Drosophila melanogaster: one gene and its partner. The protein of the gene in region 1 interacts with the protein of each later gene in a biochemical or structural test. Each region holds a gene or a part of one and is shown on either strand. Other genes may lie near its edges.

Region 1 (11,229 bases):
AGTGTAGCAGACGACGTGGGGCAAATGACATCAGGAAACTTTTAAGTATTTGGCGCTAGCTGCGGCTTAACTGCCACTGACAGCAGCAGCATCGCTTTTACCCAACTCGCTAATCTCTCTTACACACAGCATTACACACACCACCATACAAGCGGCAACAGGACGAGCATTAAGGATGTCCTGGCGTGAAGGGGTGATTGGGGTCATTTCAGCGGTACCGTTTAAATTTTTATGCAAAAGGGGTGGCAAAAAGCTAAACCGTATCGATTGTCCTGCTTATGGGCATAAATAATAAAGGAACTCAAGTGTGACACACGCAATTTGAACGTAAAATTGGCTTTTCCAAGAAACTTTTAAATTCATTAAATATAGGGCATATAGTAAAGTATGGATAACAATCAGGAGCAATTTATTCATTAAGCCCCATTCCAAAACTTAATCCTGACAGTCATTAGTGGCCTGAGGGTAAAGTGTTCCTAAAATAGCAAAACAGGCTAATGGGGAAGCTAATTGACTTAGATCCGGCGCAAAGGAAATAAATATAGAATTTTAAGTCTACCAATTAGTCCTTTAAACAAAGATTTTGTCAAAAGCGGTCTGTATAGATGAGTATATTGGGCTTTATTTTATTGGAAAGATTGTAAAAATAACTTTTCAAGAGATTTCTACATTCTCTTCGATTGTAGCATATTTATTTTTCCTTTTTTCATTCTTAATCAATCTTCGAAAAATGTAAATATTTCAAACATCAATATTCTTAAAGCGTTTTTGCCTTGCTCTTTGGATTTGTTTTTTAGATTTCATTAAGTGCCACAAACGCAAAAAGCTTTCCAAAGCGCCTAATTGCTTGGTTCATCTCCTCAGGACCTTCGCCCACCATTTTTCTCGTCTAGCTTCAAGTTTCTTCTTCAATTTGGGAAAATCTTAAGCTGAATAATACTTTAAGACAGCCGGGGCTACCAACTCTCAACGAGAAAAAGAAAAAAAAACCGCTACGCACAAATTTAATTCGCATTTAGGCTCAAGTGAGGTGGACGGGGCTGAACGTGGAGGGTTGGAAAAATTCTGGTGGCATAAATCAGAGCTACAAATTGATGCATAAATAAAGCGAACAAGAAAGGATGTCGCCAGCCGAATAAAAAGTGAGCAAGGTAAAAGAAATTGTTAATTAAATGTTGTCAAAAATAGACGTCATCGGGAATGAAAATGTCGGTTTTGAGTTACGATAGAATCGCTGGATCGTCGTCTATCTATCTGAAAAGTAATGATGGCAATGTGACACACTCACACACACACACATATTTCAGTAGCTAGAACCTTGTCACGTGCCCAATCGATTGGAAAATCGCGTTCTGAACCGAAAATAAACACACAGCTAAATAGGAGAATATAATGGAATGGGTGGCACTGGGGGAGTGCTTTTGCCGGAATATGATGAGATGGGATGGCTAGAATCCCAAAAACTCGCACACACACACAGACACACACACGACATTCACTCACCGATGGCCTAATCACACCCAGTCGCACACACAAAATTCAACATCAAACGCAGACAACTGGCCCCAATCCATCCCCAAGATTCAACCATTTGGCACCTCAAGTACGCAGGCTGACATGTGTGCCTGCCTGGTCCTGCCGTTGTCCTGAGTGCCTTGCATTATATTCGGTATGTGCACAAAAAATTAAATTCAAATAAAAACTTTCTCCACAGCACCAATTTTGCCTGTCGTCGTCGAAAATGAAAAAAACGAAGAGAAGGCAAACGTCCCCAACCCCGGAAAATCAATAAGCGCTGGAAATTATGATTTTCCTCTAGTTCTTTGACAGTGTCCTTCACTTGGGCCATGCCCCCGCTGTCATTTGCAGGAAATCCATTTGGCTTTCTATATGCACGGCATATATAAATAACTAATGTTTGTTTACTCCTAGATCCGAAGTTTACTGAGGTCACAATCGATTGAATTTGTTTGCTAACGCAAACAACATTTTAGATGGCTATGCTATTTATATGACACTTGTTCAGGTGTAAAACAATATTTACTGCAAAGTATGCAAATCTTATTTGATATAAATCAGATATTTTAAAACTTATTATGACCTCAAAAACACATAGTAAATGTATAGGTTGTTATTTTTATATGATTTTGGAGAACTTCAGCGAATATTTGGCTAGTTTCTATCGTAATATAATTTTCGGCTTAACATAATCGAATTCTTAGAAATTCTTTTTCTTCTTATTCTTATAGCTCCATAATCTTTTATACAAAAATTGATTTTAGTACGCAGCTTAAATCGCTTCCAGTTTAATGAAGGCACGCTAACCAATGGCTAAGCTTCTTTTGCTGATAAGCTTATCAATAAGTAATTCCCAGCTAATTATGAATCAAATTCGACTAAGTTAGGAGCTAAAAGTTCGAAGCTTTGAATGGGAATAAAACGATATTTGTCACATTTGACAGCAATTATGAAGAAAATAAGTAAATAGTACAACGACGAAAACGATAAACACGAAATAATATATAATCTCCGACGGTGTCAACTTTTATTAGGGCAATTTTGAATGGTCGAATGCTCGAATCGTTTGCTATTTTTATTTTGTGTGCCGTGTTACTTGAAAAATCATAATGTATAAAACTAATTAAAAGGTAATTAATTCGGTTACATCTAGGTTGGCTTCGCTCATCACCACCCATTTGCAGTCAAAAGTTAAATTGTACAGCCAATCGATTTTCATTGCCTTTCAAGCAAATCAAAGGAAACATTTTTGCAGTCAAGTAAATAATGCCCGAGCACCCCAAAAACATTCCCAGAATGCCGAGCCAGACCACATCGCACCAGACCTCATTTACCCAAGCGTTGGAGCCATTTCCATTCTAATGGCCAAGACAAATCGTTCGTACGTACATTCGCTTTCAGCCAAGAAAAACGACCGACACGCGATGGCCGAAAATTGGAGGAAACCGCAGCATTTAATTATTTTGCTATAAAACTTTTCACGATTCAATCAATTCAGATTCGGTACAACATGGCGTATGCGTAATGGGATTCAGCTATATTTTTCCCCGCATTGTTTGTAAAATTGTGTGGTGGCGTGAATTGTTTGTAGAACTTGGGCTTTGGTTGGCGATGTAAATGTGAATGACAGATCATTTTAAAGTTTAGTTGGTTTTTGTTCATGCGGAAAATGAAAAGAAATATATATAAGGTATAGTACTCAATCTCACGCCGGGTTATCAGGGAGACTAGAATATAAAGCCCCGCTGGGATTTTCTTCTTGCTGATTAAAGTTCAAGTCTTATCAGTTAATTGAAATAAGTTCAAAGCAATTGCATTTGCTCTCTTGGGTTTTCCGAAAAAGTGTACAAGTATTCAATAAACTGATCAAGCTGAATTGACTCTTGAAAACAAACATAATTAGTATAAGTTTGTTATATTATTTTACAGTAAAAATAGTTTTGAATCGATTACTGGTGGGTGAAAATACTATAGCTTACATGAAGCTTCTCATTGTGTATTCTTTAAATTTTAATTTAAATTTTAATTTAAAGAATAAGTAATTCAAAGGTTTCTGATAATTCTTAGCAACATATATTTAACCAGCTCTATCCAGAGTTCATCGTTTTGACCGTTTCTCAATTGTTTACCAATTAGACTTGCACCCTACACACAAATGTGTGTACAGGCTGTGACCTTCCTTCTCCCGCTGGCATTTAATTTACAATAACTTTCAATTCGGAAACAAGTCTGCTTAATACAATTGGCAAAGTTATAGCTAGACTGCGACTTTATACTGTATGTAAGCAATCGCACACACATGGACCAAAAGGTGTGAAAAGTGCGGACTTTGTTTGTGTTTTATTTTCTACAATTACCGAAAACAATTCCGCTGCCGTTGGCATCATCGGTTCATCGCCCAATACAAGTTAGATAGCTGCTGGCTGGGAGCAGATAAATCGATATTTGAGTAAGTTTTGACCATGACTGTTCCATTTCATTCTATTTTTATGGATTCCGAAACGGCCAAATGGCCGAATGTTTTGCGTGCGGATAAGGCAAAAGTCTTAAAGACTTTATGCCATTTCGTGTCTTTCGATTGCAGTTTCAGTTCCACGGTTCAGGTTGTATATTCCTTTGATTACAAATGAAATAAACGAAATCTTCCAGATGCCACCGCAAATTTTTATAAACTTTTGCCGTGCCGATTTCAGTTGTAAAAATATTTACATTTTGTTAATATAAATATTTGCATTTGCTTCGATTTTTTTTTTTTTGACCATTGAATTCCTCTTCTTTTTGGCTCCTCTTGAGCAGATTTTCTTTCACATTTGGAAAGTTATTTAAAGACTAACTGAGTAGCTATATTCTTCCAATTTTTTATATCAACGCCTAAATTATTTCCAATACAACAGCTTGAAATGTGAAAACGTCACAAACAGCTTTGGCACTATAATTTTGAGATAAGAGTTATAATGTTTATAATTGCATACATTATTGCTCTTGGGAGGAAATGTCTACTCTAGGGTGCAGTTCCGGCATATGTTATGTGCAAATGTACAAATCTGAACCAGTATGTTAATGATTTTTCGTAGTCGACCAATAAAACAAGAAAGAAACACTGGGACTACTAGTAAATGTCGTACTGAGTGTTATTCTCTTTTAATAAATCGCAGTCAACCGCCTTTCTTGTTTTCATTTGCATATATTATACGCCTGTTGGGTTGCAAAACTGCAGTTACACTAGCAGAAATATATATTTGCTGATAAGCAAAAACATACCATATTTTAATAAATATTTACGAAGTATTGCACAAAGTCTATATTTAATGTATTGATATAGCTATGCCTATAATCTTTCGGGTGTTTAGGTTCAAATCAAACAGGAAGTAGATTAAAGAAGTCACAAAAATATTTAAAATATTTCCCGCATGGACAAAAAAAACAAAATAAAAATAATACACTAAAAATTAAAATTTTTTGTCGTTTTTTTTTGCGATTACGCAGTCTAGTGAACCCGGCCGTATTCCCGTTTTTCACTTCACTATTAATAAATACAAATTTCATTACACGTGGCATTAGATAAGTAATTGCCCGCATCGGAAAATTGTGTACTTATTTATGTATCTGGGATTAAAATTTATGAATTCCGCCGAGTTGCTGGCACGTAGTTTTTTGCAGTGCCATTGCAATCGAACCTGACACGGGAAGCTGTCTGTACCTAAGTTTCTAAAGCCGCCTTCTGGACCGGGGACTTTACAAACTACGCCTTAAGCTAGCTAGCTGACTATAGTTTCAGAAAATTTATTATAGCTAACCTTTTATGGTGTAGTAGGTAGGCTGCTTTAAATGCTTGATTAAATTTGGATTCTCGATCCGAATGCACTGGGTCAGACAGAAATCGAATTAGCTCTTTGTTGTGTTGACACGTGTAATTGATTAAATTTGTCTTTTATGATTGACTGGTTTTCGGTTTATGTGTCGGACTTATCGCGCGCGACTCACAAAAGGCGCGCCAAAAAAATTATGAAGAAATTGAAAACAAAAACAAAAGTTGCTCCCACAAGCGACGTTGTTGCTCCGCTCATGTATTTTACTTTTGAGTTTTGTTTAATTTTTGCTATTGACACTGCAGCCGCCTGTTTAGAGCGGACATTGATTTATACACACATCTGTAGTTTACGTTGTAGTTGTCGTGCTTCGTATAATTAACCAATACACTGGCAGCTATATAGTCGCGTGCGACTTGCACAATATGCGTTATATGTACATCTATATGTATATATATATGTATGGATATCTATGTGTGAACAAGTCGGCGCTTCACGTCCGTCGGCGGCCAAGTTCAGATTGAAACTGAGCGGTTCGCTTCACACTCGGCTGCAAGAGAGCTTCGGAATGGCTTCGATAGCTCAGGCTCCATTCTCAGCTGTTCGCTCTCTGCGATCGCATGCATTCGGTTCGTATACTTGATACGTATACGTGATACGTATACGTGATAAAAAGTTACCGCTGCTGATATGATGGTTGCTGATCGCAACTGACGGAGGGTGCCAATATCTGTTTTTATTTTCGAAACTGCTTCACTTTTCCTTTATTTATTTTCATTTCCGTTGTGCGTACTCAATGTTTCGTTCTCTCTAATGTATTTGTGTTCAAGTGCGTTCCTATGACGCCATCGAGCAGAAAAAATGGTTATAGATTTTTAAGTGGATTTGGAAAAGTGTTGAGATTTTTATAACGCTCTGCAGGTGTTCCAATTTCGATTTTCGGCTATAAGTAAACATTGATTCCCTTACAAAAAAATGTGTACTTTTTGCTGGGAATGAAAATTTATTGTTATGAATGGTTTGGAAATATCATAAAAATTCAAAATACCTAAGATGTTATTTCACATGAACTCTTTTCTCATTAAAAATTCGTTTAAAATAGTGCACAGGTTTCTGGACAAATCAAGATCAAAGGTTTATTATAAGATCAGATAGGAGGAAAAGTTTTTCTTTATGTGAATCATTCGCCATTCTGGAATGAGAAGCCGAAAAAAATCGACAACTATTAGCCAGATGCATAACAATAGATCTATTTATCTAATATAGGTATGACAGCTGAATGTTTTTATTGATTTTCCCAGGAATTGACAGACCTGAAACGAGTTCGACCCTCGGCAAATGTAAATTATAAAATCCATACAACGTTGCTAATTCACGCCAACAAAATTCCCAAATGAGACCGAAAAAAGATTCGCCAACGTCTAAGGTCGAACTGAGTTATTAACTCAATTTTTGGCTTCTGTTCCATAGACAGATTTTAGTCATTGAAATAAACACAAGTGCAGACCAAACACGTAGGGGAAAAATATTTGCAGTTAACATTGCCAATCGGGTGGAAATATTTCATTATTGTTGTGCATGAATGAAAATAGTATAATTTATTTCTGCTAGCCCACGAAAATTTCGAACTAAAAACACAGTTTTCATGTAGCGTGGGCTCGTCTGCGGACAAAATGCATTTTGGGAGCAAATTTCCCGGCCGCAATTTACATCTATATAGGATTGCAACAAAGCCAAGAATACCTCAGGACGTGCAAAAATAAACTAAACTATTTCAGCTCTGGGGTTTGAGAAATTTTAAGTTAGGAAAACAGATATTTATTTATTTAGCAATTTATTGAGCAAATATGAATATTTAGATATAGATGAAAATATAGTACGACAATTTGTATAACTTTTTGAACATGTTATTATCAAATTTACAATTGTAATCCACACTTTTATTCTATTATTTTAAAATTTCTTGCTCTTTATGGCTAGGGATCACTGTAGAAGGATTTTAGTTGCGATTGTGCTTTTAGCCATACATGTATGACAAATGCCCCATGACGTAGTAGCCACTTTCAGTAAACATATCAGACGTCACAGAAATCTCCAACTCTTTATTAAGCTCCCCGAAGAAGAAGAGAAGAAAAAAAGGGGGAGAAGTCAAAGACTCTACCCCCGCCCAAACAACTCCCCCTGCAATTCTGGCACATTTGCGCTTCAAGGTCACGCGCGTGAGCGGGAACGAGAGGGAGAGAGAGAGCGAGGAAGAGAGAATGCAGAAAAACAAAGCCAAGCCCCAAAGAAATCGTGGAAGGGGGTGGAAGGGGGCGAAGGGGGCTTGACGGCGGAGCGCATAGTTGAGCAACCACTTGTTGTTGCTGCCGCTTTTATTGCTCCTCTTCAGCCAGCGCCAGTTTAAGGCCACCAAATATGCACTGGGAGAAACAAATAGCACATACATCTTAACAAAAAACACTTAAAGATTATAGATTTCTGGATATTAAATGGCCTATTGAATTAAGTGACAAATAATATCTAAAGTGGATTTTGTTGCATTTGTTGGTTTAGTATTTTATTAAAATATTAATTTTAACATTTTCTTTAAAGGCATATTTTATCAGATGCCTGAAGCATGTAAATTTAAAAAAAATAATTTATTATAAGGTGAATAGTGTTAAAAAATGCGAAATAGAAAACAGATCTACAGCTTTTTCACAGTGATTGAATTAAGTCGAAAGGTCTGCGCCGCCCTCAAAAGAGGTAAAGAAACAAAGCGCGTAGTGCATTAACATTCAAGACATTCGGCTGACGAATAATGGTGATAAGCAAAGGAAGGGGACGAAGGGGAGCCGTATCAATAACACGAACAGCCAAGTTACCGACGAACTCGAAATGTTTGAGTAGCAGAAAAGCCATGATACAAAAAAATGACTCAGCCTAGTTCAGCGAATTCAAATGCTCTTCTGCAGTCAATATATACTTGCTAAATTGCACTAAATTCTATAATGACGAGTTATATATTTGATAAGGTACTTTGATATATATATAAAGCAAACAAACAAAAGCGAATAAAAGAGAGGTAGATTTAATTGCTAGAAATGTATATCTACGGTCAGTAATAAGACACTTAATTAAAGTGTAATTTCCTTTTCTAAAACCCACTATTTTGAAAAGCTTGGCGGAAAGAAAACACTCTACGAATTGGCAAAACTTTTGCGAAGCATAAGAGAAGAAAACGTTAAGCTATAACAAAAAACCTGTCCGTCTGCCTTGTCTTTGGCTTTTGGCTTTGCAGCACTTGATTGGCTTTTGGATTCCCCGAATCGTCGATGAATCATCGCCTCACCTATATACATACATACGTATACGTAATTTCTGCGGCTCACCAAACACAATTGTGCCGCTCGCACACAATCACTTTCAATTGGGGCCTTATTTGTGTGTTTGTGTGTGTGTGTTTGGGTGTTTGCCCATGCGGAAATCTGCTGAGAGGAAAGCGCTGGGAGAGCTCCACCGAGATCATCTGCTCCGGAGAGTGGGAAATTTTGGATTGCCATTCCAGTTCCCAGTCCACTCACTCTGCCTCACCGCATTACATAATTGGTAACTGCAGGAGTTGTTTACAAGGCGATGGAGTTCCGCATGCAATGTGCAGATTTTGTTACCAATCAGGGGTATGCTGTTTCTTGCAGGTGCAAGAGAAGTAAAGTAAATTTGTAAAAAAAAATTTAAGCATAACTTTATTAAACGAAAATATATATTTTTGTTGTTTAAGCTAGGTACTATACAATGTTATTAGTCTTTTTTGAGTTCAATTGTTAGTACATAAATTTTTTATTGAACATGATATCTCTTTCTTAGCATTTCGAGATTTCTTGACTTGGTTAAATAAATTTCTCCCTGTGCACGCATCTTTTTGGTAACCATATCAAGGTTGTCTGATCCCAAGTCTCGAACTCCATCATTTCACCAGTTTAGGTAATGCAAACACAAATGGCGAGATACACTACTTTTTTGTTGTTTTAGTCTTTTACGGAATGAAGAACAACACCATCTTCAGAAAAACAACAAGAGAGAGAGCAAACACTGTTAATTAATTAATGTGTCAGCGTTTAATAAAGCAAGAGTCGTGTGGTCTCGATGTGGATTAAAACATATTGCCATTTTCAATGGAGCAGAAACTGAAAGCGAATCCTCAATTGCAAATGCAATTGTTAAGTCTTATAGAATTTGCTTTTGTGCATGGCTGCTTACTTTTTTGCGGTCCAGGAATGTGAATTTATTGTTCAAAGGTCAGCTCTGTGGCTTTGGAATAGACATTTTGTAAACGCCCCTCATTTTTCAAAAAATTAAATTACATCCTTTAATAGAATGCTAGATAACAAAAATGACATTGATGCAATAACACGGTATAACCAAACCAATGTATGGCCGTTACGCATCTTGTTATTCTAGTGTCTTTGGTATAACACTTTCAATCAGAAACAGGTGGAAACAGGTCGTTTACTTTGTACATTTTTAAGTGTTCAACATAAAAAAAAAATCAATAATAATATCCAATAATACAACCTCATATTTTAAAATGAAACATATTTTATAATTCAATTTATTTATTTACCTTAAATATTAAATTTTTTCCGTGTTGGAATTCAACGCTAGAACATAAAAAATGCACTGCATACAAGCTAAATTACACAAATGCTAGTTTCTCGGTAGTATTATCTATTTATAGGCTAATCGATTTAAAATGTTAGAACGGCAGTTAAAACGTTTTACTTTTAAACTCTTAATAATGCATTTAATTTCCTAGAATTGGACAACGAGAATTCTCGGAAACAGAGGCGCGCGCCGTTTCGATAAAATTGATCCCAGTTAACACGTCAGTATCTTAATATTGGCTTTAATAGTGTGCCAGACTAAGCCGCAAAACAGGTCACTAGTAAATGACGCTGATTTGGTAAACGATCAAATGATGATTTAATATTTGTAATCAAGTAACTTTTTCCCCAAGACGTAAGCACCTGGGAACCAAGATCAAAACTGAGTAAGATCCCGGGAGACCTGTTTGGGCTTTAATGGGTCCGCTGGGATAAACCCAATTTCATTGATGTTCTGGCTTAGGCGAATACGCTCTTAATTATTTATAAACAAAACGGAATTTTGTAATCGAACAGCGCTAGATTATTTATAGCCAAAACTCACCTAAATCAGAATTTCCAGACGTGGCAATAATTCAATATGCTTTGTTTGATTTTCGATATTTACTTGAGACTTTCGAATTTTTATGTTCGTTTGGAATATTTCGCACGTTCACACAGCTACACTTTGAGCACTTTAAATGATATTTTTTTTCAGCTGAATTTATTTAGATTAAATATTCAATGGTTTTGTATTTCGCTTTTAATTGGACGTTACTTTTTCGAAATCGTATTTGTTGGTCGAATTTTTCGAGGTGGATTTTTTGAGGAGGCGAAGAACCGTTTGCCAGCAGCGCCGAACAGTTAATGAAGCCGCCGACGCCTTGGCCACCACGCAGAGTAGCCTTTCGCCCACCACCCCCCCCCTGCATTACCGCCATCGAACCACCCAGCCACCCCAAAAAGCCAAAAACAACAGCGTACCAAGTTGTCGTAGGGCCGAAAGCTTTTTCTGCCTGCGCACATGCCGCCCAGTGGTGGGTTTTTCAACAAAAAAAAAAGCTTTTCGTGGTGAACTCGGTTCGAACGCACATTTGGCGCGAAACGTAGCGGAAACTGTGGCCCCAGGGAAAATGAGCCGCAAAATGAGAAGGCGGAAGCCGCTACCGCATCATTTTCCTTACAATGTGTGAGAACCAAACCGGATGTGCTAACTTAGTGGTCGGGGGACCTCTCAGCAGGATATCGTTTGCCTTTGAAGCCAATACTTATTTGCT
Region 2 (12,684 bases), on another chromosome or scaffold:
ATCAAGGCAAAGCGTCTGGCCAACAAGCGAACGACCATTAAAAGGACGGACAATGACGAGGCCATGGGAACTGATTTGCGTGCCATCCTGGACTATGATGTGGACTCCACAAAGGACATTATCAGCAGAGAACGGCAGTGGCGCACGCGAACTTCGATTCTGCAAAGCACGGGCAAGATCTTTGCCAAGAACATCTTTGCTATGCTTCAGGGCATCAAGGCGCGCGAGGAGGGACGCAATCGTCCACAGGTGCCCAATCCCATTAAGATGCCGGAGCCGGCTCGAATAGCCAAACCACAACCGCAGCTCTCGCAATACAACCGTTACGACCAGGAGCGCTTCAATCGGCAAAAGGAGGAGACCGAGGGCTTTAAGATCGACACGCTCGGCACATACCACGGTATGTCGCTGAAATCCGTGACGGAGGGCTCACTGGCTCAGCGTAAGGCGCAGGCTAACAACCTACCGGGAGCACCGGGTGTAATAGCGGGAGCAGCCGCCGGGCGGCCCAAGGAATTGCTACCTGCGGCCCAAGCTCGGCAACTGCCCGCCAATGGTCCATCGAAGCGAACATCTCGCACCCCCATTATTATCATACCGTCTGCCAACACAAGCCTCATTACCATGCTCAACGCGAAGGATATCCTGCAGGAACTGCGCTTCATGTCCACCTCGGATAAAAAGCTGCAGGGCTGCCAGCGCGAATGCGAAGTGCTGTTACAGGTGCGATTTAATGTAACGAATTCTCTTCCAAATGGTTTATATACCAAAAGGTTTTACAGCATTTGTTTCCGAAGATGTATTCAATTTCCTATTAAAATATTAAAGATAAGAGTTGGCATACACCAGTGCTAATTTATTTTCCCTTTTATTCACACATAGCGAAAACGCAACAATCAGACTGTGTCTTACCGGGTGATAGATAATCCCACCAAGCTCTCGCAACAGGAGTGGCAACGGGTGGTGGCCGTCTTCGTTATGGGACCCCAGTGGCAGTTCAAGGGCTGGCCTTGGGAAGGCAATCCCGTCGATATATTCTCAAAAAGTTAGTTAACATCATGCCCAGCTCTCTAAGTTTAATTCACTAAGTCTCATTTTCTTACCTACTGCAGTTTGCGCTTTTCATTTGTGCTTTAGCGAAATGAAATTGGACTCAAACGTGGAGCGCTGGTCAGTGACGCTACTCCGACTATCGCAAAACAAGCGTCATATGGATCGGGCAGTGCTCAGCAAATTTTGGGAAACTTTGGACAAGTAAGTGCTTATATAAAAATCCACCATTTCGTTACAAAAGATTTACAATGCAATCTTTTTAGATATATAGCCAAGTACAAGCCCGATTTACGATATTAACCCTCACCGCATTCTTAAACGTTCTGCTGAAACACGACACCTGCTGTTTTCAATCCCACTCCCAAGTAGTTACCATTATTATAGACAGGCTGTACTACATTATGCAACAAACGACGCAAATAGTATGTTACAGTGTGCGCCCAACTTCCGTAGGAAAGACACCAAGCCGAATCTGGGGCATTTGGCCAGTTCCAGTGCGAGTTTCCGATTAGAGCCCGACCAGGATTATCTCGCTTTTGGCAACAGCATTATAAGTCGCAGGCCTGCGATCGTGCAAATAGGCCCAAATACGCAGTTAGTAGTTAAGATAAAGTTTTTCGTTCAAATTGTACAATGTAAACTACAAAACACAAACATCTGAGAGCAAGTATCCTTTGTATTTTTAGTGATAATAAACAGTTAAAAGCCATTCTGTTTCGGTTATTCAAACAGAAGGTAACATAATTGGAATTTATTTGGCTGTCATCAAGTATATTTTCTCAATTATTTAACCTTTTCAAAGATCATATATTGGAACTTTTTCATACCTCCCATCGTTAAAGTCATAAATCAAACGAAATAGTAGTATTTCATTATTTCTGTTTATATAGCAAAATATGTGGGTTTATGTCATGTTAGCTTGTGGTCAGTAACTTTACTATCTAATATAGGTTTAGGGGATTAAATAAAAATACTATTTCTCGGCCAGCGAAGCACGATAGTTACTGGTGAATCTTCAGGAGGACTTGCGATCATCGAACTGCTTCCTGGCTGCCTTCAGCGTGTTGTGCATCAGCATGGCCACCGTCATGGGACCAACTCCGCCGGGCACAGGAGTGATGTGGCCGGCGACCTGGCGAACTTCTGCAAAGTGATGAGGAAATGAATCAATCTTGTTGGTCTTTAGTGATTTAATAGATCAGCCACACACCTTCAAAGTCCACGTCTCCGACCAGCTTAAACTGGCCAGTGCTCTCATCCTTGATGCGGTTGATGCCCACGTCGATGACACAGGCTCCGGGCTTAACCATGTCCTTGGTGATCAAACCCGGCTTTCCCACTGCGACCACAATGATATCCGCTTGGCGGCAATGGCGAGCCAGTTCCTTGGGCGGTGTATACCTGTGGCAGATGGTCACCGTGGCATCCATTGCCTTGGTGGCATACTTGCCATCCGCGTGCAGCAAGATTGCCATCGGTAGACTGACATTCTTGGAGCGTCCCACCACAACGGCGTTACGACCGAGAGTTTCGATTTTCATATGCTCCAACAGTCGCTTGACTCCCAGCGGCGTGGCCGGAATATTGGCCTCCATGTCCAGAGCCGTGCGTCCGATGTTGACCTCATTGAAGCCATCCACATCCTTGTCCACATCGACGGCATTGCAGATGGTGCGCTCATTGATGTGCTCGGGTACCGGCAGCTGCACCAGTATCCCCGTGACCTGGGGATCCTTGTTCAGATCGGCAATCAGTTGCAGCAGCTCCTCCTGCGTGGTAGAGGCGGGCAATCTCTTGGTCTCACTGGAGATGCCCACCTCCCGGCAGGCGACCATCTTGTTAGCCACATACTTCTCGCTAGCCGGATCCTCGCCCACAATGACGGCCGTGAGATGGGGCTTCGGATAGCCAGCAGCCTCCATTCCCTTGAGCTCGTGTGCTAGTTGGGTGCGCACCTCCTGGGCTATGGCCTTGCCATCGATAATTTGAGCCATGTTGCTGGAATGCGATCATAATATTATTTAATTGAATGAGATTACACTGTACTATTCCTTAAAACATTATTTAGTTGCGATATTCTTGAAAAAATATAGCAGGAAAGGTCATAAACCGGGAATGATAAGGGCTGTCGGTAAATCCCCGCCTGTCACTGCAGTTACGCAACAGTAATTCCCCCACAACACACACTTAGGCGCATAAGTACATGTATGATTCACCCACTTGTTTACCAAGCGGCGTGCGCGAGCGGCAATGAAAAATTAGTGATTCCCCATTCTTAGAATGTACTTTTTAATGCCGAGCTATCGATGGATCCCCTTTTGCTAGTGATCTCATGCAGGGCGCCGATGGTAATTGTTTGAGGGAACAAGTTTAGATTGCTTATAGAACTATTCTAAAGAATAGATTCCATGGAATAATAAAGGAAACTAAATAAATGCTAATAAAGGAAAATAAATTAATGCTCTGATATTTAAAAATAAAGCTTGCTATCCCAGGCATCCTAGTTTCGCGTATTTTTCATTCCACAAGAGAATAGTATTTGTAAAACTAAGGTACTTTATTGATCAACATTCAATACATAATCAAGTTGGGTTAACCAGTAGGGCGTAAGCCTGTGGATCCACTGCCTGCAGGGCACGAGCAAATGTGGAAAACTCTACAGAGGCTCCTTTTCTTTTCACGTGATCCAACAGATCCTCCGCGCCCAGCCATATAAAGGCGAACTGCTTCAGATGCGTCTGGCGGGCTAGTTGCATCCATTTCCGATCTTGGGGATCGGACCCATGTCCCAAAGGCTGATTCAGCAGCGAACAGAGCCGGTCGTAAATGAATTTGTTTTTGAGCAGCAACTGCAATTTGTTGTTGTCCATTTCGGTGTCTCTACTGGATTCATCTTTCTGTCTTCTTGGACCACTACTTAGGTCCAACTCCACGGAATCCTCGTCCTTTGTTTCGATGTCCATCTCCTCGGACTTGATCTCCAGCTGACCAGCATCGCTACTTTCGTCCGACGATGAATCGATCTCCTCCTTGACCTTACATGGAATCCAGGTCATGGCCAGTTCTCCCTTCTCCGGATACACATTCTTCAGCAGCTGGACCACCCGGTCATTTGCCTTGCGTTCGGCCAATTCCAAGGGAGTATGGCCGGCTGCATTTTGTGCCTGCAGGATGTCGGTAAGGTTTTCATTTTGGGCATCCAGAATGAGCACCAATAGCTCCACACTTTGCTCCAGAACTGCCATGTGGAGTGCATTATTACCATCCATTGTGTTGGCCACGCTAATCGAGGTCCGATCATAGCTGATCAGTTTCTTGGCCACATCGTACTTGTTCTGTCGAATGGCCATGTGCAAAGGCGTCAGACCATCGTCGTTCGTTAGCGAGAGGTCCAATTGTACGGTTGGCACTCCATTAAGGAAGCTTTCCACGCAGCTTAAGTGCTCCTCCTTGACGGCCACATGCAGTGGGGTATTTCCGGCATTATTCTTCAGATTTGGATTGCATCCCATACCCAGCAAAGGTCGTATGTAGTGCGCTCGGTCTTGCTGGCACGCCACATGCAGGGCACTATCACCGTCCGCATTCAAAGTGCTATTGACCACATCTTTCAGATTGAAGTAGTTCATCACCTGTATCGTCTGGATGGCCAGCTTCAGTTTGTCCTTTTTGTGGCTGATCACTTCGTGCAGGAGCGTGTCTCTATTGTAGTTATTCAGAGCATGCTCGATAAACCACTTCTCCACTTTGTGGTGCGAGATTTTTATTGGCGATATGCGGTCCTGTTTGTAAATTTCGAATAAGTCATCCAAGCATTTAATTGTACGATTTCGATGCGATGGCACTTCCGCCCGGTTATGACCATCGTGCTGCAACTCTCCCATGTCTAACTGGCAGATCTTCTCGAGATCAGAAGAGTTGTGCTCGATAAGTTTGCGGAAATCTTCGGAAGCAATAAATTCATTTAGATGCTTTTCGCGTCCGAACTCCTCACTTATAGTCTGATCATGCTGTGAAAGGTTTGGCAAGCCATTTGGTGGCTGCGCCAAGCCCAGCGTTTTGGGCAGATCCAGCGAGTTATTAGAGCTTTCTGTTCCCGAACTGCTGCTATTGGCAGAGGACCCGGTTCGTCGGCGTTTCCTCGACACAATTACGCTCCGTGGCTTGTAGCGGAAGGGCAGCGCCGGGAATGAGCGCTCATCGTCGGAGGGACGAATGAGCTCGATGTACACGTTGACCTCGCGGTCCACGTCCTTATCTTTGTACGGAGGCGTCTGGCACACAATGGCATATTGGTGGTGTACATCCGATTCGCGGAACTTTGCGTATGCCTCCCACACGGTTTCCCCGTCCTCATCCTCCTCGAAGAACCTCACTTTAATGTTCTTCTTGCTGACCTTTTCCACCAGTAGAATAAGCTCATCGTTGCCCATCACCCCGCCAGTGGGTTTGCTCAGGCGGACGATGCGAAGCTCTCCAGTTTGTGCCGACTTGCGGTTATTGATTGCATTGCTGTATACAGGCGGTGCAAGTGGAACCCATGCGCCGTTGTCCTCAATTTTAAAGGCCTCAAAGCAGAGCCGCACCTAAAGTTGGTGTTACTTTTTTAGTGAGTTCTTTGTTGCTTTTCAGTAAGTTAATTGCTTCGATGTTATATTGCTCAGTTATTTTAGCAGAGAAATTTATATAATTCGAGCTAAACGAGTAGATACTTTACAGACTGCTTAAATAAAAAGATTAAAAGGTAGCAAATGCAACCTATAATTAATTGACTAAAGCATTCTAAAGTGAGCAATTAAACGTGTGAATAATAAATGCAAACGTGCATATTCACCTCATCGAAGCAAGCAACTCGATATTGTTTACGCGCTGGTTTACCCACCTGGTTCAAGTTCATGTCCTTGGCCTCACGCTCTGTCTCCTGATGCAGTTCCTGTAGCTGTTTGTGGGACAACTCGCGGCGGTTCATCTGAAAGACCAGGCGATCCTGCTTCTTCTTGCACAGTTCCTCGAATATGTACTTCTTGGCGGTGTGTATGATGCCCATGTTGATAAATTGCGCCACATAGCCGCGCTCCTTGGACACGTGCAAATCATGCGGATCGCACACATCCCGATCGTCCTTGCGCACGACCAGCTGATGGGAATGTGGGCTGTCCAAGTTAGTTTGGAACAAACTGCACCGGATGACGGCGGGTCCATCGTAGTTGCACAGTGTAACCTCCGGGAAGGTTTTGGGCGTCCGCTTCGAATTGGCGCCATTTAGCGATCCATGTGTTCCATGCATCTCGCTCTTGTACCGAAAGCGGAACTTCTCCACCGGTTGCTCAACGATCCGCAGCTGCGGCACGTGTTTGATATCGCCGTCAGATGCCAGGCCATTTTGATGGTATCCAAAGTTTTGGGACGGTGGCACAGTGGCCGGAGCGGGCACAAAGTACTGGTGATCCATGTACATGTTGCCAAAACTGGTGACATTAGCAACGCCGAAACTAACGCCAGTGGAGTTTATTAAATTGGTAGCACCCAATTGGCAAATTCCGCCGTTGTTCAACAGCTGATTCTGGTATGGTGAGTTTGCCATTGGCGGCTGGTGTGGTGAATTGCCGCCGGGCAAATTAAGATTGGCGAAGTCCGTTTGCAGTTCCATGGTTTTCGGGGAGTGGGCTGGTGAAAAGGATCGGTTGGTGGAGTTGGGTGATGTACTGCTGCTATAGCCACTGGTGCTGGATGCATCGTTCATAAACATCACATTTTTCCCATTGTCCAGGTCGTAGTACTGATTCATGTTCATAGTCCGTATCAATCCAATATTTCTGATCAATAGCGTCTTAACAACTCAAAAGTGATCCGCTGCCTTCGCCGATCGGAACGCTAATGATCGAAACGAGCTCCGCCGATGGCTGACCATTCGTTTTAGGTACTTCCCCGATGTTCGGCGGATGGGAAATTATCTGCGGCGGCCACGTCGAGATGACTCACGGGTTTTTCTGGCGCACCACTCAGTGTGATTTTTTTGATCGGCTATACTATAAGCATGTACGGAATTCTGGATTCGCGGTTGTTGTTTACAGAGCGAAATCACACTGTTTATATGTATTCCACCCAACTAATACATATATGCAAATTTATGGAAAAACGACGCAGCGAATCGGGGAACTTTAGTGCGCCACTGCTGGAACGAAAATGAACGAAGCACTGCGCGAACACAAGTAGTATCGCTCACGAGTTGCGAGCAAAACGCTCGCTGCCCTGATAACAGGTTTAAGCTATTTGCGCCGAGCTTTCGGGTCAGCTTTTCACGGAAACTACGGTTCAAATTCATTTATTTGAATACCTGATTTCAACACACCGCGCACACTAAAATAAAAACAAGGCAGAGCTGCCACCGGCAGATAAAACGAGTTGGGTGGCAACGCCCCAATCAGATGTTCTACAAATCTAGGGATGGAAGCGTACGCGATTGTTTGTTCCCATTATTCTTGATTAATTTTTATAAATATAATTTAACCTATTTCGACAAAAAGATATAAAGGTATATAATACAAAATATTAATATAAATAATACAACACTTATATAAATATAAAGATATAAGGAATTTTAATACAAATTTATAATGAGAACCGGCGTAACAACTTATAACTGTGTTATAAAATAATAATAATTATGCAATGCAAGTACCGAATATTAGTATTATTAATAATATATTTTTACGCTTTCCATTGGCTTTTCCCTTAATTCACTTTCGTCACGCACTCATCTCTAGCGCACGCTTTGTTTTTCTTCGTATGATATTACGTTTTATTTCGGACCCGATTCACTTTCTTATGAGCATACACACCTGAAGTTAGACTTTCCGGCGTAATTCCGGGAAGCCAAGACCGAAATGGATCCTATAGAACGTCGCAACATGGTTGGAAAATTTAAAACACCGGAATGTTCTTTTATCCTAAGACACTTGTGCTAAATGATAAAAAAAAACTACATAAGCATGCGCCACTGAACTAATTTGCAATTCAGTCGGTTTCCACTCCCACTGGACCCGCGCACACACACACGCACACTCACGCAGAAACAGCTGATCTGTTGCCAGGCTGCACTTAGAGTATATATGTATGTATTTACGATCCCTTTGCACTTTTTGATGTGTTAATCAATCTTCTCACTTCGCCGTTCCTCTCTTACTCTTGTTACCATGCCAAGGTGTGTGGGTGTGTGTGTGTAAATGCTTTTACACCTTATCAGTTGACGATGAGTTTGTTTATATTGATAATCAATTAGCAGGAAAAACATAAACAAATCGGGGTCTTGACTTTGCAACCACTAGTCTGCGTCTAGACTAGAGTTATTAATAGGCAGGCTACAAAATTAGCTCTTTATGCGGACAAAGGAAAATTCGTTTTCTTGGCTTGATAAAAGCAAACGTGTCTTAAGAACGCCTATTCAAATTTCTTTGAAGGTCAATTATGTATTTTTTATGGATTTTTGTTAGCCAATTTTCACTAGCAGCATACCTTATTGTGACTTCTTTTGTTGGCTTTTGCGAAATTTTCCTGGTGGAAAATTCGAACTGCACTGATTGTCGGATACCGATGGACTGTATAGAACGAAACAGATCACTGAATGAGCCTCGCACGTGTTTGTATATTTTGGATAAAAGCTTTTCGGTTCAGCGCACTAAATATGCGTGTGCGAGCGAGCGCGACTTAAAAGCTTTAAACACTTGTCGATAAAAGTTTTGAACTGTGTGCATATAAATATGGCTTAAAACGGAACAAATACATATGTGCATATATGGATTTTCGATTTTGAAACAACGCGGAAAATAGCTAAACACATATTGAACATATTTTATTTTCTCAACATGAAAATTTTTAAAAGTTCGCCTTGTGTGCACAAATATTTATTTAGGAAATTCTTAAAGACGTGGAGAACAACTTTTGTTGCTTTTATTACCAGTTACATGATTACGATTTTGGTTGGGAATATTTGCTGTTCTAAAATTTCCGACACGAGTTATTTTTCAATAGTTTGTTTTTCTTCGACGCGGCGGATGACGAAATCTGATTTCCGATTACTGCACTCGGAGATTAAGTTGGATTCTGTTGGCCGGTGACGTCAATTTGCTCCACAGGGGGCCACCAACGTCTCCCACTGATAAGCCTTTGAGTTCAGCCCCCTCTGATCACCCATTACCTATTCCATAAGTTATGGAATTGATGCACAAACGCCTGGTAACTGGCGATTTTTGTTTTTAGCCAGAGGAAAAACAATGCAGGCGTCATTAACAATGTTGTTCGCGGACGATGATTGCTCCCGTTTTGGGTTGAAAAACATGTTATTTTCGAACGGAGATAACCCCCGTGGAAAGTGCGAGTGGGCTGCCCAATGGGAGTCATGCTTTAACAAGCTTGTTTAATTTACAACTGGAATATTTCGACGAGCATTTTACTTTCTCTGGTCGTTACAAATTTGTGTCCCAAGGATGCGTGATAGAAAATTATTGTGAATTTATTGTCAAAATTGTTTTAAGCTATAGAACTATTTTCGAAGTTTTCAGAAAGAAAATGTTTTGTCCTTTATTTTTCATTGTAACTCATGTTTTCAAAACAATAATTAAGAACTAAAAATGCTTGTAGGAGAAGCACATGGCATAATTAATATATAGCTATATTCGATGAATAATGGAGATGTAACAAAGTACGGATTTCAAAAACTCACCTTGTGAATCGCATTTTGAATCGAGTTCTTTTAATAACTGAAAACGTTTGATCTGTTGAATAATATCTGATGTCCTATTAGAGTTTATTGCACTAATATACTTTTAAGCTCGTTAAATATTGCAACACTTTTTGTTTAAAGTATTCTATAAAAGAACTTGGTTTCACACTTGTCGCTTTGGAATATTTAAAAGAAGCGCGTTGCAGCCCTTTTTATGGCTCTTAAAACGGGTATTTTTTAGTACCTTTCTAGTTCGAAATTTCGAAATTGGCCTTAGATTAAAATATTTCAGGGGTAGACAAATTGCAGATTTCTCAATAACCAAGAATAAAACGAAGATAATGCTGCGCACGTACAATTTTATCTGTATGAATAATCTGATACTGTTGTAAATTCAACGCTTAACGTTTGAGTGTGTCTTAGCAGTGCAAGTGTGATGCATCTTTTTTGGTTTATTTATGCCAACGCCATCTGGCCACACTGCAGTGAAAAGGAAAACAAGAAGTCGCAAATCCAATCTCCATTGCAATTTTGAACACCATTCCTTTGCATAACTATTGCCCACGCAACTGCATCTCTGATGCCCACAGACTGGCGATGAAGCCCCAGAGCAAGCGGAAATCATTCCCATTCAATGCGCCTCCTCCGGGCGGTATCATGGACTTCGGATTCGGGAGCTGCAGCACCTTCGGCAATTCGGTGGAGAATGATCTGGTAAAATGGCAGCATAAGCGAAAATCCGAGCAGCCGGCACCGGCAGTGCTGTAAGCTATATCCTCAACACAACATCCACATAAAATACTAACCACAGAACTCATTGCAGACCACCCAAAATGCTTATAACCGAGGAGAGGATCACCCAGCATTTCAGCGGTCTATCGCTGGATCCGAAGATCAATGTCGCCGCCACGGCCGTTGTTAGCAACAACAACAGCGTGGCCAGCGTTACGGGCGGACTGGCCACGGATGATATACCATCCACCAGCACCGGGAAGACCCACCACCCCAATCCCGCCTATCAAATGGCGGCCATGGAACTGGAGCAGAAACTGCGCAATGCCAATCGCATCGTAATTTGTGATGGCCTTAAGCCAGGATCGGGTCCCGGTTCCGCTCCACCTGTAATACCACCGGAGTGGCTAATCAAGTCCATACCACGTCCCTGCACCGCCTTGGTCCCTTGGCAGCCTTCGCCACTGCAGATGCCGATGCCGATGCCGGAAGTCAAGATGGTGTCGCCCCAAATAGTGGCACCCATGGCTGCGGCACCGGCGGTCCAGGAGCTGGATGACTACGATGACGATCTGGAGTTCTTCGAGAACAACAACACGTGCAGCGTGAATCTTAACAAGTCTGAGCAGGAGCACATGGACGAAGACCTGTAGCGATAGCCATATAAAACCCTAAACCATAAGCATTAAAGTGTAGATTTGTATGTCCGTAACCGTAAGAACCCAGTTGATAGCATGCAAGAATACTCCGCCTCCTTATTTTTTTATTACTATTGAAAATAGATAGATGTATGTGATTCAATCTGGAATGTTCCGGAATATTCGTTATTTGAAGCAAGTGAGTCGAGAACAGATAACTTTCGAGAGACGCAACGGCGGACGTCAAACGAACACCTGACTTAAGAAAAGTTTTTCTAAGATGAACTAATTCATTTTACTTTTTACATCAATTTATAAGCACTTTTTACAGTATATGAGTTTCTGCAGTAAAGTGGATCGAACGAGCTGAATCTACCATATTGTTTAAAATATACTTTACATTGCGTTTTTGGAATCGACCTTTCTTTGCTGGCTACTAAAATTAGAAAGATACGTATTTTTTGCAATTGATAAAGAATAAAGAATAAAACTGTAAGCAAAACTTTGTATGATCTTATATATATAACAAATAACGCAAAATGTTAAATAGACATAAAATTATGAATGCTTAAGTCCGATATTGTAAGAACCTCTTTGCATTTATAACATTTATATATTTTTTAATTTTGCCGAGCTAGTTTTCCGTTAAATTAACTGGTTGATTGTTTAAATGACTGTTTAAAATGATTTAATATTGAACTTTGGTATTTGGTATTTTTGGACAGGGCGGTCCCACTGAAACATTGGTGTTGGCCAACTGCCGTCATATTGAAAAAACCAGCAGAGAGGTCGGATCGCAGCGCTGCTGGATTTTTCAGCGATTCGCGTACGGAAAAAATCGAGTACGTCCGAGTGCGGATTGCCCAGAAATCCGTTTAAATAAGTGTTTATTTGGTAATTATTATTTAAAATACACACTTGTATAAGAGTGTGTGCGTTTTTGGTGCTGTGAAAAGTTTAGTGAACGGCCCCCACATTGACAGCGTATGAATTATAATTATAATTTACTTCATGGCGCAAGCGAAAAGATTGTAATTCGGAGAATGAGAAGACGAATCAGAACAAAAGCAAGGCGAACGGCAGAGCCACCACCACATATAGCACTCAAATCGCATCCGCAGCGGCGGAAATCTGACAAAAACTAGATACGAGGCGAAGTGCAAATTTAGAATTCTTATTACAAGTTCATGGGAAAGTGGCGAATATACGTGGAGCGTGATAAGTGAGCGTTTTTTGTGTGTTGAATGGCAAAACATCACGTTGACCGATGCACGAATGAGAGGGAGTATTTCGAGTACGCGTCGCCGGAGTCGAACTCACCACTCTAGTTTGTTTTTCCGCTTTCTTCGCGGCTCTCCCTCTCATCGCTCTCATTGCAGTGCAGTGGTGGAGCCTCTGGGCAGCGGCACACGCGTTGGGGGCCACCCCCCTCCGGCCGGTGAGCCACTGTACTTGCCGCGTGGTGAGTTTGCCGGCTGGGCCTCTGCTGCTGCTTCAGCTTCTGCTGGTGGGTTTCTTGTGCTCCGAGCTCTTGGGCTC

What was found.
Region 2: the proteins of Dif (region 1) and Rel form a complex in vitro, tested with the Drosophila melanogaster proteins (one study listed by BioGRID).

Annotation. Positions count from the first base shown.
Region 1 is NT_033779.5:17,422,341-17,433,569, forward strand, and holds the start of Dif (Dorsal-related immunity factor), read right to left. Parts: upstream 5,860-11,229; 5' UTR 5,316-5,859; intron 1-5,315.
Region 2 is NT_033777.3:9,040,589-9,053,272, forward strand, and holds Rel (relish), read right to left. Parts: upstream 7,390-12,684; 5' UTR 6,848-7,389; coding exon 5,936-6,847; intron 5,640-5,935; coding exon 3,636-5,639; 3' UTR 3,595-3,635; downstream 1-3,594. Other genes in the region: hyx (hyrax), read left to right, coding at 1-723, 883-1,045, 1,113-1,254, 1,317-1,353; Nmdmc (NAD-dependent methylenetetrahydrofolate dehydrogenase), read right to left, coding at 2,069-2,196, 2,264-3,051, 9,776-9,789; Mst85C, read left to right, coding at 10,373-10,539, 10,599-11,160. UniProt on the Drosophila melanogaster protein: Transcription factor that plays a key role in the humoral immune response as part of the peptidoglycan recognition protein (IMD) signaling pathway.